Rattus norvegicus: one gene and its partners. The main gene of each other region encodes a partner of the protein of the gene in region 3 in a complex. Links are inferred from orthologs where the notes say so. Each region holds a gene or a part of one and is shown on either strand. Other genes may lie near its edges. The genes, in order: Tmem126b, Ecsit, Ndufaf1, Tmem186 and Acad9.

Region 1 (4,305 bases), on a different chromosome or scaffold from region 3:
TGGAAAGACCCATGGCTCCAGCTACCATGTAGCAGAGGATGGCCTTGTGGTGACATCAATGGGAGGAGAGGCCCTTGGTCCTGTGAAGGCTTGATTTCCCCAGTGTAGGGAAATGCCTGGGTGGGGAGGCAGGAGTGGGTGGGTGGGTGGGTGGGGGAGCACCCTTATAGAAGCAGGTGGAGGGGGTAAGGGATGGGGGCTTCCAGAGGGGAAACTGGGACAGAGGGTAACAGTTGAAATGTAAATAAATAATATATTCCATTAAAAAAATCAATCAACCAACCAAACAAACAAAAAACAAACAAACAAACAACAACAACAACAACAACAACAACAACAAAGGAGAGAGGGAGGTTGTGAAGATAGTCCAGTCAGTAAAATGCTTAGGTCCTCACTCAACTGTGAGGACCAAATTTGATCCCCAGAACCCAACACACACACACACACACACACACACACACACACACACACACACACACACACACACACACACGAAGGGGAGAGGTGTGGGAACTAGGTGAACAAGAATAAAGAAAAGAGGAAGGGAAGGAATGGACTACTTACTTAACTGCTAAGCGTCCATTTTTATAAAAAGCCAAAGCACTGGGATAGGAGACCCCACAGGCTACGCCGATCAGTGAGCTTCTCAGAACACAGCTTTCCTGGCTTATATTACCTAGGAAGGGAGAGAAAAGTTAGTTTTCTTTAAGATTTAGGATAACTGTTAAAATGAAGCTGTCTATCAAAGCACACTTACTTTGCTGTTTGCAACTAAAGGTAAACAGTAGATAGAATATTAGGAATTCAAAGCCCGGTGCCTTGTTCTGAAACTCTTTATTGTGTGTTAGCATATGGAGGATTACCATTCATATGTGCTTTTTCTGTTTTGTTTTATTTTTCGAGACAAAGTGTCTCCGGGTAACAGCCCTGGCTGTCCCGGAACTTGTAGACCAGGCTGGCCTCAATTTTAATTTGTTATAGTTACGTTATATACTGATGAATTTAAATTTACCTGATTGCAGAGCATCAGTCACAAAGAGCTTGTAAGTAACGGCGGTAGCCACAAATGGAAGGGTAGTCAGGGATGCATAGGTCCTCAAAGCTTCATACTTAACCTTGAAACTGTATCTGAATACTAAGTTTGCCATAACGCCAGACAAACTACTACTTACTCCAAAGAATAAAGTTCCACGTATATTTAAAGTCCTAAGAGGAACAAAGAAAGAAGTTTAGCATGCATTCTTGAAATGAGTCACATATTTACCCAGCATCTAGTATTTCTTGTTATTAAAATAATTGTCTCAATGAAAGAAAATTGTTTAAGATCCTCTAGAATAAAAGCTATTTTCACATGGTTAGCCTGTCTAGAAAAGAACCATTTGTGAACTGGTCCAGATACATCTAAAATAATTTATCTGTGGTTTATAAAACTTCAATGAATGAGATCTGCCAGATTTGCTTTTACTTAATTCTGGCTCTGACCTGAATGAAGAAAGCTTTCAAGTATACCTGTTGTTTAGCTTAGTCTTGAGCTCTTTTACTGAAAGTCACCATAGTAGTCCGAGGTCATCATGCCATAGTCCTTTCCACATTCTCTAGTCATCCTTATCCCCAGTACCTTGGCTGAGATCATGAGCATCAGTCTCTTAAACTTAGAGCTCACACTAGTATTGCCTGCCAGCTTGCTCTGGGGGTCACTTGTCTTTGCCTCGAAGGCTTGAACTGCTATATCCACCTGGAAATTCTACGGGTTTTCGGGGATCCAAAATGCAGTCCTCAGACATGAAGAGCTTTGACCTCTAAGCCATCACTCTAGCCTTGCTAAACTGACTTTAATCATAACTGTCCATCAGTAAAATACAAGTAGCCTTCAAAATAGTTTCATACTAATTGCTTTTAATTTAAAAAATATTTGTACAAATAGTATCTCAGCAATAAATTTGGGCTTTTTTTTTTAAAAAAGCAAAAGAAGGGGTTTGGTTCTCAGGATCCACATCTTAGGGCTTACAAGCAGCCTCTGATGACAGTTCCATGGTATCCAAAGCTCTTTTCTAGCTTCCCCCAGAAGCTTTCTAGCATGTGCAGACATAAATGGCATATAGTGTCTGTCTGTCTATCTGTCTATCTCTCACACACACAGAATAAGCCTTATAAAAAGAAGCAAAAGAGTTTATCTAAAGTCTAATAAGCCAACATATCAATTCATTGACATTTTTGTCCAGTTTGTAACCACCTCAATAAATAGCTTTTCTATTATTTACTAGATGTGTTTTCAGGACTTTTGTAAAGGCATCTTTTGGAACTTCATTGTTGCCAATTTTCCTCAACCCCACCACTCCCATATGTAAATATTTAGACCAGTGGTTCTCAACCTTCCTAATGCTGAGATCCTTTAATACAGTTCCTCATGTTGTGGTGACCCCCTAACAGAAAATTATTCTGTTGCTACTTCCTAACTGCAATTGTGTTACTGTTATGAATTGTAATGTAAACATATGACATGCAGGATACCTGATATGCAACCTCCAAAGGGGTCATGCCCCCTAGGTTGAGAATCACTGATCTAGAAGATTCTCAAGCAATTCAGGCTGCCATTAGAGGCAGAATAGTTGCAAGAAAAACTGAAAGCCTAAAGGAAAAACATTTTGGCAAAATGTTACACAGTGACACTACCCAGGAAATAAAAGTTTTGAGGAGACAAAGAGAAGAAGCAAAAAACAAATAGTTTCTTAACCCTCAGAGACTGGGAATAGGAAGGATGCACAAGTAAAGTCGCTGGTCAGTTATCACTGTGTCTCTTACTGGTCGTTTCTATAAGACTCAAACTTTTTCTCTAAGATTTCAGCGATCATTGGTCTTCCGAACTTCGCATCTCCTAGAGAGGGAATCAGCCGACCATGCTTGTAAAGTGCCATCTTGATGTCCTGGAAAACACAAAATTCCAGAGTCATGACAGCTAACCACACTAATATTAAACAAAACTTTATAAAACTATATTCAGACTAAATACACTTAGAGTCTAGGAATGTTCTAGGTACTGTGTTATCCGCTTTCACATATTTTAAAAAATAGTATTTACTGGACTCTTATTTGTTACAGTGGGGTTGATTTTTTTTTTTTGTGAGTTACATAAAAATTGGGAAAACTATTATTTCTGTGTTTACATATGTGGTTTGAGTAAGAATGGCTCCCCATATGCTCATGTATTTGAATGCTTAGCCATCAGGGAACGGCACTGGCATTATATGAGGATTTAGAGGATTAGCAGTTGTGACTTTGTCTAAGGAAGTGTTTCACTGAACATGGGCTTTGGGGTTTCAAAAACCTTTGTCAGGTCAGGTACTTGTCTGTCTGTCTGTCTGTCTGTCTGTCTGTCTGTCTGTCTGTCTGTCTGTGCTGCCTGTGGGTCAGGATATAATTTTTTAGCACCAGGGCTATTAAATGATAATGAACTAAACCTTTGAAACTATAAGCAAGTCTGTTTTATAAGGGGTGCTGTGGTCATGGTGTCTTTTCATAGCATTAGAACAATGACTAAGACAATAGCTTGGAAAATTGAGTTTCAGAAAGCTTGTCTTGCCACTGAGATGGTGATTTTGTTTTCCTTCAGCACATCTTCCTCTGTTCAATCCAAAAGAGTAGAGGGCCCTGATTTTTAATCCTCTTGAAGTATCAGCAGAAATAGTACCTGTATGTTGACAAAGATTTCTTGTTGTCTTAGTTAGGGTTTTATTGCTGTGCAGAGAAACCATGACCAAAGCAACTTTTATAAAGAAAAACATTTAATTGGGGCTGGTTTACAGTTTCAGAGGTTCAGTGCTGGCTTGATCTGAAGGCAGTGGGAGACTGTATGCCACACTGGGTGTACCCTGAGCACAGGAAGCTTCAACCTCCTTCCCGCCTGAGCATAGGAAGCCTCAAAGCCCCCTACCCTAGTGACACACAAGGCCACATTTCTAATAATGTCACTTCCTATGGGATTATTAGACATGTGAGTCTATGAGTTCCATTCATGTTCAAACCACCACACTTGTCTTCTCTCATCAAAGCCTGAGCCTGTTTTGGAGATTATTTTTGGATATAAGGGTAGGTAGGAGAGCAGGAAATGCTTTGGAGAATACAGAAACAACAACAACAACAACAACAACAATAACAATGAATCAGAGAGGGGTATTGTTCTGGTCTAGTTCATGGTTATCTTGGATTTTATGTTGTAGTTCAGTTTTCTAGTAGGTCCTAGGATAGAAAGCAGAGTCTTTGTCAGAAATCGCTATGTGTTATACCGTGAAGCCCGGACAGAGGAAT
Region 2 (4,212 bases), on a different chromosome or scaffold from region 3:
TTTAAGGAGAAAAAAAATCCAACTCTTTTTCCAGTATCTCCCATCTTGGCCCCAAATCTCCCTCCACTCCCTGCTTTCTTTATCCTTAGAGCTTCCCCTAAGCCATGATTACACACTGGTTCCTCCTCCTCAGCAGCCTGACGGCTGCCCTAGTCCTGTCAGTAATGCCCGCCCAATGCACCGCTGTGCTCAACACTTTGAAGGCAATGACTTTGAGGTGTCAACTTCCAAGTATCAGACAGTGACGTCCCCTCCCTTATAGTCCTTGCTAACATCCTTGGGTTTCTCCCTGGCACCCGTGCCTACTTCTCAGCCAATCATGAGATGCCTTTCAATGTCAGCATTATCTGCAACACTGCCAAGGGTGCAGACAAATGCCCTGGGAGCACAAAACCTGTAGATTCAGGCTTAGTGGAAACATGACCATACTTCTGACAACTTTTATCAACAGCTGCTGGCCTAGGAAATGTAACTAGACTGGACTCAGGCTGGGACTCTATAGACCTGGCCTAGACTCCTCCAGGGAGCTGCTGGGCCCAGTGAGCCTCTGCTAGATTCCCCTAGTGAGTGGCTGGAACTGAGACTCAGTGTTATCTAGAATCCCCCACGGAAAGGCTGATGGTGTGGCTCAAGGTAGGTACTTGCTTGGTATAGTTGGATAAAAAGACTCTAAAACCTTGCAAATTGTGTTCCAGGACCTGTAGAATGTTGGCTGTAACTCAGGTCTACTGCATGAGAATCTGCATTGTAACACCCATAGGTGGCTCCTCATGCATTAGAGTTGTTAGTGTTTATGCTCATGGTTCCCTAATGTTTTTGCCTCCATACCTAAGTATAACTTTGGTACAAACCAGCCATGCCAAACTCCATCCAGGGAACACTGACAACACCTTTGCTGACTGTGCTTCTCTGGAGGCCAGCCAGTAGCACCACCCTTCCTGGTTATTCAGGCCCCAATGTAAGAATTGCTCAGCAGTCACTATGTCCCTATTCAGTCAATAGATAGTCCTGGAGACTACTTCCAAACCTATCCCCTTGCAGGCCACCATACCATTCCACAGTGATTTCCTGCATACCTTTCTGCCTTCTCTCTGCCCTGCTAGTTACTTCCCTCCATTGCAAAAGGAAGCTCTTAACAACAGAAACCAGTTGTGCTGGAAAGATGGATCCATTGGTAAACTGTTTGCCCTGAAAGAATGAGGACCTGAGCTCCAGCACCCATTACAAAGCCAGGTGAGGTGCCATGCACTTGCAATCTGAGGAATCTGAGAAAGCAGAAGCAGGCAGGCCCCTGAGCTCCCTGCAACAGAGCCCTGAACTCCCTGTAACAGAGCCCTGAGCTCCCTGCAGCAGGCCCCAAAGCACAAGGTGGACAGCTCCTGAAGAACAACATCTTAGGTTGACATTTTTCCTCCATACATGTGCTTACATGTGTACATGCACTAACATACATCCCTGTACCCACACAGGAACACACAAGAATGCTGGGTGTGATAGCACATACCTGTAATCCCAGCATTTGGGAGACACAGGCTGGCGGATCTGAGTTTGAGGTGAAACCAATCTATACAGACAGCAAGTTCCAGACCAACCAGGGCTACATAGTGGGACCCTGTCTTTAAAAAGAAAATGTGCTTGAGATAGGTGTTGTGTGTGTAAAGCCAGCACTGGGGAGTGTGAGGCAGGAGGATGGCCTCCAGAATCAAAACAGCTGGAGATCGTTAGTGAGCTCCATGGCAGTCTGAGCTACAGAAAGGTCCTGTCTAAACTTTAAACAAGAGCAGGGAGAGAGAATTCAGCTGGGAAAGGAACTTGCTGTCAAAACAAAGCAAACCTAATGACCTGAGCTCAAACCCTGGAACCAACCTAAGGTGTATGGATAAAACCTCAGAGCTGCCCTCTGACCTGCACCATGCACCATGGCACATGTGTCCCACCCCCCACACCATAACCAAAATAAAACTTCAAAGTAAATACACATCGGATGGCTTCTACCTGCTGTACTCCCCCTTTCTCTTGTAGCACCAGCTACACTGTTTCTGAAACAAGACAAGTTTATTGGTTTCCCAGGCTTTGAACTTGTTTTACCCTCTGCCTACTGTTTACTGTTTTGGTGTATGCCTATAATCCAGAACTCGGGGGCTGAAGCAGGAGGACGATCATGATGGGTTCGAGGCCAGCTTGGGACACATAAAGACTCTTGAATCAGGGAAAAACACACTGCTTGCAACAATCACTGTTTTGAAATCACGAGATTACCTGTTCTGTGTGTGTGTGATTTGCTCAATAATTGGCTCTCCTAGATAGTACTTTTTTAAAAAATCTGTTTTTCTCATTGTTGTGTCTCCACCAACTGGGTCAGTGCTTGGCACACTGTAAATGCCCAACACCGATCAACTGAGTGTGAATAAGCAGAAAGTTTCTACAAGACATGGATAAATCGGAACAGCGAGGTAGCGTGTATGTATGCGTGTGGGCTGGCACGATTTTGAGTCTCTGAGGCTGGAAGGTTCCAATGCCTGCCTCACAGACAATGTACGTTGCCCGAGTCCGCTATCCCATCTGTGAAACGAACGCCTGCAGCAAGAGGTGCCCAGCAACCTTTCCTTGCTCATTCCCAAGCCTGCACCTGAAAAGGTCACAGTGCCCTGACTGAGGTCGAGTTGAAGGTCATATTCCCCGGCTCTACCAGGCTTGGAAGTGGACGCCCCAATCCCAGACGGTCCCATAGCCCTCCCACGCGCGACCCACCTACTCACGCGGCCACCCGCACACCCGAGCAGGCTAGCTGGGACCGCTGGGCGCCGTCATGTTGAGCCACACAGCTTCCGGTTACGAGTCGAAGGTGACAGCAAATCAGAAAAACCTGTGACGATAGGTCCCGCCCTCAAGTGGAGATCCACCAATAGGAAGGCGGAAGACACTGGTTTCTCCTCAGGAGCAGGCCCTGCTGCTCACCGAACTCTAGAAGCCTTGGGTACCGGTGCGGAGGCGCTGGATCGGGTTCCCCTACGTCTGTCCGGTCCAGTTTTCTCCGCCGTGATGGTAAATTATTGTTACGGACTGGAAGCACCACATCCGGTTCGGAGCCCATGGCCTCTTGCGTGCTAAGCAAGCACTCTACCGCTGTCTGCTAAGCCACAGCCTAAGTCCCGGGATTTATTCTTATTCTTTTTACTAAACGGGTTTTTTTAGTTTGGTTGGTCCAGTTGTTTGAGTCAGGGTCTTGCAGTGGTACTCAGCCTGGCCTCAAAACCCTGGATTCAAGAGATCCTCAGGGATCAGCCCCCTGAATAGCTGGAACTTCAGGTGGGCAACACTGCCAACAGCTTTAACAGAATGTCAAGTTATGTTTATTTTCATTGTGTGTTATGTGTGTAAGTAAATCTGTGTGAGCACGTTCGTGTGGAAGTCAGGACAACTTAGGGGGAATGTTCTTTCCATGTGGGTACTGGGGATGAAACCTGGGTCATCAGGCTTGGCTATGAGCACTTTTACCGCCCCTAAGTAACAATTTTTGAAGTTTGAATTCATCTATGTGAAATGGCCATATAAGTACAACAAGGGCTACTGTGAGAAAGGACATGCATTCCTGACACCCCTCTCTCCCTCCCCAACTGGGAGTCTAGATTGACTCTTCAGACCACCCACACTGAGAGCTTAGAGGCCTATGGAGTGTATGTGTAGATGATTGGATGGCCCTGGATTTGTTGTATGTGTGTATAGATAATAGCGATTACATATAGATATATTATTCATATGCATACACAGACGCATACACATATACATATATTGATTGAATATAGGCTTTTTTTTAACATTGTTTTATTTTGCGGGTGGTGCATGTGGCGATAATTTGCTATAATCTATCCTGGGAGTCCCAGGGATTGAACTCAGCCATCAGACTTGACAGCACTTTACCAAGCTAACCTGCCAACCTCATAAGTAATCATTTTTAAGACAAGGTCTTGTGCAGCCTGGACTAGCTTTGAACTTCTGTGTAGCTGAATTTGACTTATCTGATCTTCCTGTCTCTTTTGTCCTGGGATTACAGGCCTATGCCACCACACATTGTCTCTGTAGTGCTGGGGTACAGTCCAGAGCCTCTGACATTGTAGGCAGTTACTCTACCAACTGAGGTATAGCCCCAGTCCTTTTGTTTTGCTTAGACAGGGTCCTGCTGTGTTGCTTGGCCTGGCTAGCCAGGAACTC
Region 3 (4,023 bases):
AAGGTATATAATAACAAAGATCTATGACCTTTGAGCCTGTCACCCTATGGGTAAGTACTTGCCAAGTATGTGGGTGTTGTGCTGTATGTGTGGAGGACAGAAGACAAGTGTGTGAGGTCAGCTCTCTCATTCCACTTCTCTATAGCACCAGAGAACAATTCTAAACAAAAGACTACAATATCAGCACATGGTGAAAACAAGCACATACAACAAGAGTCTCTCATTTGAAAGGAGTGGGCGTGGGAAGGTCAGCAGTTAAGAACACTGACTGCTCTTCCATGCAGGTTCAGTTCCCAGCCCCCACATGGCAGCTCTCACCTATCTGTAACTGCCACTCCAGAGCTTCTGACATGCTTACACAGACATACATGCAAGCAAAACATCAATGAACATTAAAAAAAAAAGGCTAAAAGGTGTGAGGGAGGGGGCTGGTAAGATGCCTTATCAGATGAAATGCTGGCACTCAAACTTGAAGACCTAAGCTGGATCCTGGAAGCCATATGAAGGTGAAGGAGAGAACTGATTCCATAAAGTTACCCTCTGACAACCGCCTAATAATAATAATAATAATAATAATAATAATAATAATAATAATAATGATGATGATGATGATGATAAATTTTAAGTCCTCAACAATCTAGTCCACCTGTTAGCTGCTTGAATCTATATCAAAGTGTTACTCATGGCCAAGTATGATAGAATATGCCTGTCATATAGTTTTGGAAAGCTTGGGCAGGAACATCCTAAGGTGAAGGTTAGCACGAGCTACACAATGAGTTTCAGGCCAGCTTGGGTTAAACAATAGACTGTATGTCAGACTGAACTACAGTGAACCCCCACCCCACCTTGCCAACCCAAAAGAAGCACCCAGGCCACTTTAACTAAAACAAAGAACTTGTCATGCTTCTGATAAGCCCCTCTTTTCTCATCCACACATCACAGAGGTCCCCCCCACCTCTCTCTCAGATCACTGCTCTTGTCACAGGGCCACATTTTTTTACTCCCCACTCAGCCTCTAGAAAGACACCAATTCTTTTAACCAATTAAAACCCTTCGAGTACCTACAGGGATAGCTCAGTGGAGTATATGCTGACCATACATGAAGCCTGGGTTTAATCCCTAGTACCAAACAGTTAACAGATGATAGACAGATTCCTCCTGAAGCTCCATGTACATTCACAATAAAATCTACTTCCTACTCTAGACCAGGTCTCCTTGGCCATCACTCCAACTTCACCTCTATGAATTCATTGTGTGTTTCCATCAGACAGAATACTTGTGATCCAACCAACACCTTTTGGACTACACACCTTAGTTAATTGCTTCTCTTAGGCCAAGAATGTTCTTTGCTGATTTTTCCCAAATAACAGATCCCTTGAGATTTAGCTTAGCCATGTTACACCACGGGGGCAAAATTGTTCTTGATTATCCAATTCCACCTAGAAGTGTCCCTATGAATGAATTATTCCCAACGAATGCTGGCTACAGTTTACTGACTTTTTCATTTGTCAATGTCCCCCAACCCAGACTGTAAGTACCTTAATGGTTGACTATTCAATGCTGTATCTCCAGGTCCCAGTATGATGCTCAGCATTCTGGAAATTTAATATTTTTGAACAAGCAGCTCCACATTACTTTATCTCTGTCACAAGTGTGAGGGTTCTGAATCTTATGGCTTTTACCACACCTATATAATTCCCTCTAACAAGGGGCTTCTTAAACTTTATAGTCCCTTTAAATCATCTGGCAATTTTGATAAAATGGGCTTCTAATAAAGTAGACACAGGTCTTGAATCTAATCCTTCCTCAACCTAAGTGTTAGGATTACAGACATTTGTTACCATGCCCAGCCAAATAGATTCTGTCAGTCTTTTTCTTTTTGGTACGAGCCCCATGTGACCCAGGTTGATCTTGAACTCCTGATCCTCCTGCCTCTACCTTCCAGGTGAGGGCTCATCAGCTCATGGAGAACACCTTTTAAATATCAATGTCCTGGTAAGATTTGGGTGCAACTTACAAAACCCAGCTCTTGGGAAGTAGAGAAACAAGGATCAGGAATTTACCATTTTCTGATACGTAGAAGGTTCAAGGGCAAGGTAGTCAGCATGTGTCCCCTTTTCGAAGAAAAAGAAAAATTATAAAAAGAAAAAATTTTAATAGGGGAAAGGACTTAAAGTAGTAAGAAGGTAAAATGGTGGGTTATGAGTAACATTATTAACCCTGTTTTCGAGACATTCAGATCTTATTACTTTTCTAACAATACTACAACTTCGTGTTTTGTTTAGTAATTTCTTGCAAGAAACTCAAACTCAGTAACCAGGTGACATCGGTCCGAAGCTAACGGTGAGTTTTTAATAGGGTGTTCACATCGCTCCTAGTACTATGACTGTACTACTATGTACAGAAACGACTGTTAATCTAGGGCTTACCATGTGCCAGAAACTATTCTCCGTGTGTTTTTATTGATTTCTCACAATAATCCTGATCCTGAGACGGGTAACTTCTAGTATTATTCCAATGACAAAGACTAACGAAAAGGAGACTCCACAATTAAATTATTCGAGATCACAAACCAGAGACAAAAGTCACTCTGAAGACCAGGCGTTCACCTCTCGGCTGGCGGAGTTAACCACGTCCCCAGCCTCCGGAAGCTAGGCGCTCCCGAGGAGTGACGGCCCCTCAACCCTCACCTGCCAGGACTCTTCCCCGCCTCCTTGTCCCTGAGTTTCCCATCTAGGAGAAGGGTCAGCTTACCTTCTCAGACCCCCCACATATGGCTTCCGGCCAGTCCTTCTGTTTTCTCCGCCCGGTTCTCCACGCTTCCGGTGCAGGTCCATCTATTTTTCCCGTCCGGCACCAAACTAGGTGTATAGAGTTTCAGGTCGTACAAGAGTACCAAAAGGTATCCTAAAGCATGGGACAACCTGAGGCTTTTGGTATTCAAAGTTCCCCAGCGGGTTCGCTTTCTGAAATTTCCTGTCCTTTGTGAGCGAGCTCTTCGCTCTACTTCTTGTAATCCGCCCTCATATGTAAATATCAATCCTTTTATTTTTTCCTTTTTCTTTTTTTCGGAGCTTGGGACCGAACCCAGGGCCTTGCGCTTCCTAGGCAAGCGCTCTACCACTGAGCTAAATCCCCAACCCCTATTTTTCAAGCAGGATCTCCGCACTACTAACTCCTCTTCACTTGCCTGGCCACTTGTGTGTCTTCCCTGTAGTCCCTTGAGAACTGTCTGCTGTGTGACTTCAGAAATCCACTTAACTGCTTCTGGAGAGCCACTGTACACCTAGATAGCAACCAATCCAGGCTTTCCTCAATCGTGCCCCCCACATAATCCACACAGGAGAGCTGTTGCATACGTTGTGCACACTTCAATTAAAGTGTTTTCCAACTTGGGGTTCACAACCTGTGTCCCAAGTCAGCTCCCATCACCCATCCTCAATAAGTCAATTAAAAGAGCCAAATTAAAAATTAAAAGCAAGACTAACATGGTAGCCCACACTTTTATTCCAGCTCTGGGAAAGCAGAAGTATTTGGATATCTGGGAGTTCAAGGCCATAACTCCTGGTAGCTATCTAAGTATAAGTATATAAGTATGAAGGTGTGTGTGTGTGTGTGTGTGTGTGTGTGTGTGTGTCTGCCACAATCCCTCTAATTACATTCAACTTTCATCCCATGGAAAGGTTGAGGTCCCTTAAAACAGTCTCTGCCTTTTTAGTCTGTCTTCCCACTAATTTTTCCTATAAAAACTGTGAAAATCTTTCCCAGAGACAAGTCAGGGGTTTGTTCCTTCTTCCTACTTAAGATTCCTTGGGAAGCTCCCATTTCTTTGAGGTTCTTTGTTTAAATCATCTGATAGATTGAGAGACGCAAAGTATCTCTTTAGAGTATCTTTATTTTTGCTAGGCTAGTTCCTGTGCATATGTAAGTGCAACATGTGTATTTGGTACCCTCAGGGGCCTGAAGGTATCAGAACCAATGAATAGTAGGCACCATGTGAGTGTGAGAACCAAACCCTGAAAG
Region 4 (4,079 bases), on a different chromosome or scaffold from region 3:
TAGCTGTGGCCATTCAGCTGGTGAGCCTGAGGACCAGTGATGGACCCCAGTGGCAGCCTGGAAGCCTTGCTCTACGTTGTAACTTCTGGCTGCTTACCTTACACACTGGTTTTGCCTGTTCATGGTGCTGGTATGGAACTTAGGACTTTACACATGCTAGGCAAGAGCTCTGTCACAAAGCCACAGCCACAGCCATTATTATTTTCATATCCGTCCTCATGAGAGGAAGGGTCTTCCATCTCAGAGTGCAATTCAAGGTTCAGGAACTCAATACCCTGTCCCAGGTCAAGGAACTAAGGCTCAGCAGAACCCAAGTCCCCAGGCTCCACATCCTATGCTCCTCTGCCAACCCTCCCACCTTGCAGCTTCACAGCAGCGGGCTGCCTCGGCGATCTTGGCATAGTGCTCCTCTAGGAACTGCCTCTTCATAGAGACTTCTGGCCACTATCTGACAGGATGTCCTATATAGTATAATGTTCCACTAAGGGCTTTTTCCTAAAGCTGGTTAATGCCTTCCTTTTTGGCCCAAGGCAACCTTGAACTTCTCCACCTGCCTATGTCACCAGTATTGAGTACAGGCAGGCACAGTCATGGCTGGTTCTATGCAGTACTAGGGACTGAACCCAGGATGTGAAGTCCTACATGCTAGGCAAGCAGTCTACAAAGTGAGCATCAGCCCAGTCCCTGGTATTAGCTTTTGTCTCATCCATGTTCTTGACCAGGGCTACAACGGCCTACTTGCTGTTCTTGAGTGTGGCCAGGGTTCCGAATACTTGTGAGAAACGATCCCTGTCCAGGATTCGGCCATAGCGTAGGGTGAGGTAGAAGGTCTGCTTGCCACTGTACTGCTGGATACGCACGAACACATCCTGGACCCGTTCCTCGGATTCTGACAGGGGTATCATGTCTGACACGGCACAGTATGTGTCCTGTCGCCAGCCCCAGAAGGTCAGGTGGGCCACTCGAAGCAAGGTACCTGACTCATTCACATAGAGGATGCCTACCAGTCTCCGGAAGAAGTGGCTCATCCAGCACAGCATGACCAGGGCAAAGCTGGCAATCCCACTCATAAGGCCCAGTGAGCTGAGGGTCATGAGGCCTTGTGAGTAGCAGTAGAAGCCTGGGGGCAGGGCCACCACAGTCACAGCTGTCTGTGCCAACTTCAGCCGAGACAGGAACCCAAGTGCTCTGATGGCATTGAAGCGGTAGATTGTGTGGAATTTTTCAGTCTCTGTGCCTGGTGGCTTCTCCTGTGAGGGGGGAGACCTGCTCCCCACCCACCTTATGGAATCCCCCTGCCCAGCACGGCACCACAGTTGCTGTAGAGGCCTCCTCCATGCAGCGGGCCCCTGCAGCCTTGGCACAGCTCGAAGGAGGAAAGCCTGGAAGAGAGAGGTTCCTTTCAGAAATCATCCAGGCTAATCACACAATGAACAAGGCAAAGCATCTCCCAGAAAGGCTTCAACCAACCCTGGCAAGACACCGTGACTGCCAGAGGAAAGTAAGTGATAAAGCCAGAAGCTTTATTTTTTGTGGAATTCTACTCTAGATAAGTACCATTCTCCCATTTTTTACAACTAAATAAGCAAGCAAACAAAACAAAACCCTAATCCTAGCCAGTGAGATAGCCCATCTAGAACTGGGGCTTGCTACCAAACCGGGTGAATTTGATCCCTGAAGCCAACATGGTGGAGGAAGAGAAATTACTCAAGCAGGACATCCTGGACCCCTACATGCCATAGCACAAGTAAATGCACACGAACTAAACACACACACGATTAAAACAAATTTTAAAAAAGCATTAAAAAACAAAACAAAACAAAAAAACCAACAACACCAAAAAAACCCTAGGCCCTCCCCACCCCTGGCCCTGGCCCCAAGTGCAAGGAAACAAAAGCAGTCTCTGACACTCAGACAGGTCCTTTCCCCCGAGCAGGTCCAAATAAACATAGAAAACCTGTACGTCCAGCCATTCAACAGAGATGGGCCAACAGTGCACTTAAAACTTCCTTCCTTCCTCAAAGGGTAAATCAATCGGTGTCGGAAACCCACACAACAAAACCATGGGGTACTTATCACAGAACCTTTGCAGTCCTCTGACTGCCTTACACGCCAAGAGAATTTCTTCGCATGAATTAGCCTGGTTGGGAAGCAGAGAAGTGAGGCACGGAGGCCCTCAACACACTGCACAATGACTGTCTGGAATAAGTAGAAGAGTGAGCAAATTCTGGGCTTCAGAGTAAGAGGACACTAACTGTGCATCCTTCATCTTTCCAAAGAAAACCTCAGAATACGCTAGGGAGACATGGTTCTTTTTTTTTTTTCTCTCTCTCTCTCTTTTTTTCGGAGCTGGGGACCGAACCCAGGGCCTTGAGCTTGCTAGGCAAGCGCTCTACCATTGAGCTAAATCCCAACCCCGAGACATGGTTCTTAAGCGCTGAACTTGGTGTGCGCACTGGGACGATGAAGACCGTCCATGTGACCCAAGGGAAAGAAACAAGGCAGAGAAATAGCACGTAAAAATACACTCTGGCCTTCCACCGACTGATTTCCCGAGTGGGCAGCCCAGGTATCCTTCCTGCCAGTCGTAGGCCGGACCCGGTCGCTAAGTGCGGTCCCTCCTTTACCGCCCACCACCTGACATTCCTACCATGAGCCTGTCGCCTGCTACAGGAAGTACGCCGACCTTGTCCCCGGAAACTTGAAGGGCTCATGCGCGGGAGGTTAATGCGCTAACTCAAGGAAAAAAAAAAAAAGTACTACGGCTTGGGAACTGTAGTTCAAATTTTGTATCCGCCCCGAGTGTCCCGTAAGCCATTAGAGAATCTTCCCATCGTGCCTTGGAGTTCCGGGGCTCGGAGCGGACCCGGAAGTTCCGGGTGGAGTTCCGGGTGCCAACGAGTCTTCTGACTGGAGAAATGGCCACGCTCTGTCTCTTTGACATGGATGGGACCTTGACTGCCCCGCGGCAGGTAGGCGGCGCCCGGGGAGCTCCTGGTGGTGGGGCAGAGCCCTTGCTGCCCCAGACCGCCGTAAGGACTGTCCGGGAACCAGTAGACCTAGGTCCTGAGCGGGGTCCTGAGTGGGATGCGCAGGAAGAGGGGGCCAGAAAAGCCTTCCGAGTAGGAAACGTGTTCAGAGTCGAAAAGTTCGGGTCCGAATTTCTTCTAGGGTTCCTCGGGTCTGGTGTCCTGGATTGAACTCCAGCCTCCACCCTCTGACCTGCTGTGTCACCTCCCCAGCCCTGTCACCTCTGACTGTCTCTTCTAGTATATCAAGGGCAGGTTTTCAGCTGTCTGACCTTGAGCAAATGTCTTTCGCGGAGTCCTTGAAGCCCCTTTAAATGTGATGCTTAGGTGAGGATCACAGAGACTAATTAGAAAGTCCGGTGGGACTTCCTTCCGCTAACCGAACTTGTTATAGCCAAAGATAAGTTTGTGTGGGTTCGTTCTGGTGATGGCATTCTCTCTGCCTCCTATGCACAAATGCATGATTGAACAGAAATCATACAAATGAGAGTAGGCTCAAATAGCTTGGGTGTCGCCACCTCTGCCCCACCCCTTTTAGATTTCGTGGACTGTGTCCCAGAAGCCCCTGTAGTGTGTGTAACCTTAGATATGTCAGTCTATCTTTTTTTTAATTTTTTTATTCCTTTGCAATTACATGTGTACAGTGTATCCGATTGTATTCACCCCCCCCCCAACCTTCCTGTGCTCCCTATGGAGAACACTGACCCACACACCCTCTTCTGTTTTCATGTCCTTTTTAAAATTTTTATTTTAATACCTCTCTAAGTCCAGTTAGTGCTACACACACACACACACACACACCACACACACACACACACACAGCCATCCATCAAGTGATAGGCAACATATCACCCATGCTGAAATGTTAACTGGCTTGATCTTGTACAGGGAACCATGGTTGCTGAATTCATAATGTCCAGAAGACAGCATTTCGTTTACCACACTTCTCTCCATCCTCTAACTCATACATTCTTTCTGCCCCCGAGCCTTGGCAGGGTTGATAAAGGGTACTACTTATTCTTAGCACTTTGACCAGGTATGAGTCTGCAT
Region 5 (3,512 bases), on a different chromosome or scaffold from region 3:
GCATGTGCATACACGGGGGTGCTAGGACTATACACAGTACAGACATGCCCATTCCAAAGCTGTGCTCTTCAACCCCAACCCTGTTGCTAAGTAACTACAGTCTGGAGACTCAACTGTGGGCTTCGATGCCAGACATGGAATCCAATTACCTGCCTTCCACCTGTACACAGCAGAGATGTATGCATCTAATGTTTGCCTTTGAAGCTGCCTTAAAGCAAAGTTGAGGGAGCAAGTAAGGTATATATAAAGACGGGACACCTCAGGGAAGGATTCATCTCTAAAGACAGCACTAACCTTTGTCTCAAAGGGCTGGGCTTCCCCTCCAGACCCCGAGCTGTAAAGTCCATTTATGTCACACAAACAGTCTTGTCTCCTACTCCCCCAAATGCAGCTCCAGACAACTGACCTTGAGGCCGATAGCTTGGTGTGCTGCCAGGGTCACTGTGATGGACGCATCCATGCTGATGATCTCCCCAAGCCGGGCATACATGGTGTTGGAGAGGCCCAGGCCACCTAAGATAGACAGACAGACAGATAGACAGACAAGTCTAGCTGCTTCTCTTGGCTGAGGAAAAGGTATCCATTTTATTTTCCTAATTTCAAAGCAACAGTAGTTTTGTTTTAATTTTTAAAAGTTAACAATCCACAGAATGGCACAATGAAACGTCACCTATACCTTACTCAGCACTTCTGTGCACACCCTCAGATTCCTTCCAGGCAGGAAACACAGAGGAAGCTGAACTGTTAACACAGACACCTACACAGACAGCAGGTCTCTGAGTGTGCTGCCAGTCCCTGTTCTAGGATTCCAACCCAGACGGCCAGGCCAAGGCTCTTCTGCTGTGGCACTGGACTCTTGGGTGCTCGTTTCCTGCCGTGCAGGCTGCCCTGTGCACGGTTTCACCTAGGGCTCCAGATCTGGCTGTGCTGTGGACTTATCCTGTCTGTATACACGAGGGCCCACCTTCTGCTGTACTTCAGTATCTGGCAACACAGACAGGTAAGGAACCATGAAAACCTCCCATTTGCTACAGTAATGGCATCACTTGGGTGTGGCAGGAAAATGCCCCACAGAGCACATCTGGAAGACTGGATTTAAAGACCATGACTCCTAAACAAGAAGCCTTTATGCACCCATGGGAAGCACCTGCTGAAGAGCCAGCCCACCAGGTGGGTGGCCACTGTGCTGACTCACCATATTCTTCTGGGACCTGAATGCCAAAAAGTCCCAGGCTCTTCAACTTCGCTAAGGTGTCAGCTGGGATTTTTCCCTCCTGGTCAATTTTTCGAGAGTCCACTGACAAAAACAAGTTATCTTGATTAAGCAAGTAAAAATAAGTAAGATAAGTTCGTGTTTAATAAAAGTATACAGAATGGTTTTTTTAAGAGTATACTCATCACTGGTAGAAAATGTCTAAAACCCGAAGTTGTTTAGTCAGGCTCCCTCGGCATGTTGTTGATTTTATGTAATTAAGTATGTAAGAACTGTATTCTTAGGTGACTAGTGCTAAGTGTTTCTCCTAGTTTAGGTGCTAGTCACCAGGTTCACGTAAAGTAGCAGTGTATCATGCATGTACTTCTATGATGCAGATTCCTGGAGACATGCTCTCTATGATGGCTCATCTTGTCAGCTGGTTTTAGAATGATTTAGGAACCAAACCTTTGGTGTGACTTTGAGGGAGTTTCCAGAGATGTTTATCTTTAAAAAGACAGTGTGAGAATCTTCACTATCTCACGGAATCTGTATCTTCATGACTGTACACACACGACGGCACTGTCTATGAACACGCACGCACACACACAGGCTCACACTCACACACACACAGATGACACACGCACTCTCTCACACACACGCACCAGTATACACTAAGCTTTGAGAACTCTGAGTGAAGACAGCAGGCTTGTATTGATAGCAATATCCTGTTTGTGCTGTTAAAGGAGCTATCCAAGATGTCACCACTGTGACAAATGGGAAATGCAGACGGTCCCCGAGAAAATACTGGGCCCCAGACCGTGAATGGTCCCTAAAACAGCCGGTACAAAGAAGCTGGCGTGAGCCTTAGGAACATGCATATCATCCCCAGGCATGCAATTAGCAAGTCTGGACCACCTGGCCTCAGCGATTTTCATCTTTTCTAGTTATTCACTTTATCATGTCGTTTGCAAGTTTTAGCCTGAGGCAACACAGAAACATTTAAAAGAGGCTGTACACCAGGAGGACCAAATTAGTATCTTTTAAGTAGGCAGAAATGAGTGATGCCTGCAGGTCCCGCTATGAGCAGAACTATGTGTAACCTAGTAATGACACTAGGAGCTGCTTCTGTCTACAGTGCTTCCAGTGTGTGCAATCTTGTAATGCAAGACAGCAATGAGAGAAAACCATACATACCTTCTTCATTAAAGAATTTTTCCAACGGTCCCACAAACTGATTGATTTCACTAAGCTCTTCTTGACTAACCTCTGGAAATGGGAAAACTCCTTTCTAAAAATGAAAAACATGGATGACAAATTTAATTTTCAGCAACTACTCATTATTGTGTTTATCACAAAGGAAAGAGGGGAAATGGTCCTGGGAAGGAGGCAGAAAGGTGACTTCCCACAAAACCTCAGGTATGGGTCTTAGCTTAGATGCTATCTATAGCTATTTTCCTCCCCATGCAGGTGGGCTGAACCCCAATCTTCAACAGTTTCCTTATCAATACCAAGCGGCAGAGTGTGCCCCATAAGAACCTAGGATTACATTTAGGTGTGTGGAGCCATCAGACTCCAGCAGCACTTGCACTTTCTCACCCACAATGTGCAGGTCACATTCTCTCAAGGTCCTTTTGAGACTTGTAGGAGAGAACAGATACGAGGCTTCCTCACTAAAATGAACCCCAGTCTTTATGTGAGCTCAGATGGTCCCAATGGTAAGAATATATGTTAATCATCCTGTGTGTCTCTGTTTGGGCAGCTGTTTCTTGTGTTGTGGATACTGGCTTCCTGTGCTGAGCATGTGAGGTAGCAGGGTCACAGGAGAAGAATCAACCTGAGCCTAGCTGCTCTATATGTGCGTGACTGGCTTTGAGCAACTTATATGTCCTCTATTGGTGTGTTTTTTCCTATATAATCCTGTTCATCAGAAAAAGTAGCTGTGAGAATCAGAAAGGACATACTTAGGTCCTGAAACATGAAGTAACCATGCCTGTGTAAGATTCCAGCTCTTCTCATGTCCACTCTTCTCCTGGAGAATGACTTGGCTTCTAATCACTAGCGGACAACTTGCCAGGATTCCCTGCTGGCCTTTGAAATCATCCCATAAGGCTCGAGGACCTGTGGCCCTCTGAGTTCTAGCTACTCCTCTAGCTGCTTGGGATAGGGTGTATATTTGGAGCCAGGGCTGCTGAACAGGGACAGAGCACAAGTTTCCAGGCTCAGGAGCCCCCCTATCTCCTTGGTCCTCTCATTAAGGGGAGCCTTCAATTGTCCCTACCCTGTCCTATTACTCACTCTCCTGACTTCTCTACATTAG

What was found.
Region 1: Ndufaf1 (region 3) and Tmem126b share a complex: the UniProt entries of both Homo sapiens proteins name them as parts of the mitochondrial complex. The link is inferred for Rattus norvegicus from reciprocal best matches to the Homo sapiens genes NDUFAF1 and TMEM126B.
Region 2: Ndufaf1 (region 3) and Ecsit share a complex: the UniProt entries of both Homo sapiens proteins name them as parts of the mitochondrial complex. The link is inferred for Rattus norvegicus from reciprocal best matches to the Homo sapiens genes NDUFAF1 and ECSIT.
Region 4: Ndufaf1 (region 3) and Tmem186 share a complex: the UniProt entries of both Homo sapiens proteins name them as parts of the mitochondrial complex. The link is inferred for Rattus norvegicus from reciprocal best matches to the Homo sapiens genes NDUFAF1 and TMEM186.
Region 5: Ndufaf1 (region 3) and Acad9 share a complex: the UniProt entries of both Homo sapiens proteins name them as parts of the mitochondrial complex. The link is inferred for Rattus norvegicus from reciprocal best matches to the Homo sapiens genes NDUFAF1 and ACAD9.

Annotation. Positions count from the first base shown.
Region 1 is NC_086019.1:153,857,837-153,862,141, forward strand, and holds the start of Tmem126b (complex I assembly factor TMEM126B, mitochondrial), read right to left. Parts: upstream 2,803-4,305; 5' UTR 2,735-2,802; intron 1,207-2,734; coding exon of another isoform or gene 1,149-1,206; coding exon 1,013-1,148; intron 677-1,012; coding exon 565-676; intron 1-564. UniProt on the Homo sapiens protein: As part of the MCIA complex, involved in the assembly of the mitochondrial complex I. Participates in constructing the membrane arm of complex I.
Region 2 is NC_086026.1:28,891,564-28,895,775, forward strand, and holds the start of Ecsit (evolutionarily conserved signaling intermediate in Toll pathway, mitochondrial precursor), read right to left. Parts: upstream 2,804-4,212; 5' UTR 2,752-2,803; intron 1-2,751.
Region 3 is NC_086021.1:127,101,219-127,105,241, forward strand, and holds the start of Ndufaf1 (complex I intermediate-associated protein 30, mitochondrial), read right to left. Parts: upstream 2,803-4,023; 5' UTR 2,590-2,802; intron 2,115-2,589; exon of another isoform or gene 2,064-2,114; intron 1,591-2,063; exon of another isoform or gene 1,539-1,590; intron 1-1,538. UniProt on the Homo sapiens protein: As part of the MCIA complex, involved in the assembly of the mitochondrial complex I.
Region 4 is NC_086028.1:7,488,330-7,492,408, reverse strand, and holds the start of Tmem186 (transmembrane protein 186), read right to left. Parts: upstream 2,811-4,079; 5' UTR 2,654-2,810; coding exon 2,651-2,653; intron 1,383-2,650; coding exon 735-1,382; 3' UTR 1-734. Other genes in the region: Pmm2 (phosphomannomutase 2), read left to right, coding at 2,919-2,972. UniProt on the Homo sapiens protein: As part of the MCIA complex, required for efficient assembly of the mitochondrial complex I.
Region 5 is NC_086020.1:120,874,323-120,877,834, reverse strand, and holds part of Acad9 (complex I assembly factor ACAD9, mitochondrial), read right to left. Parts: intron 2,484-3,512; coding exon 2,390-2,483; intron 1,298-2,389; coding exon 1,196-1,297; intron 514-1,195; coding exon 407-513; intron 1-406. UniProt on the Homo sapiens protein: As part of the MCIA complex, primarily participates in the assembly of the mitochondrial complex I and therefore plays a role in oxidative phosphorylation.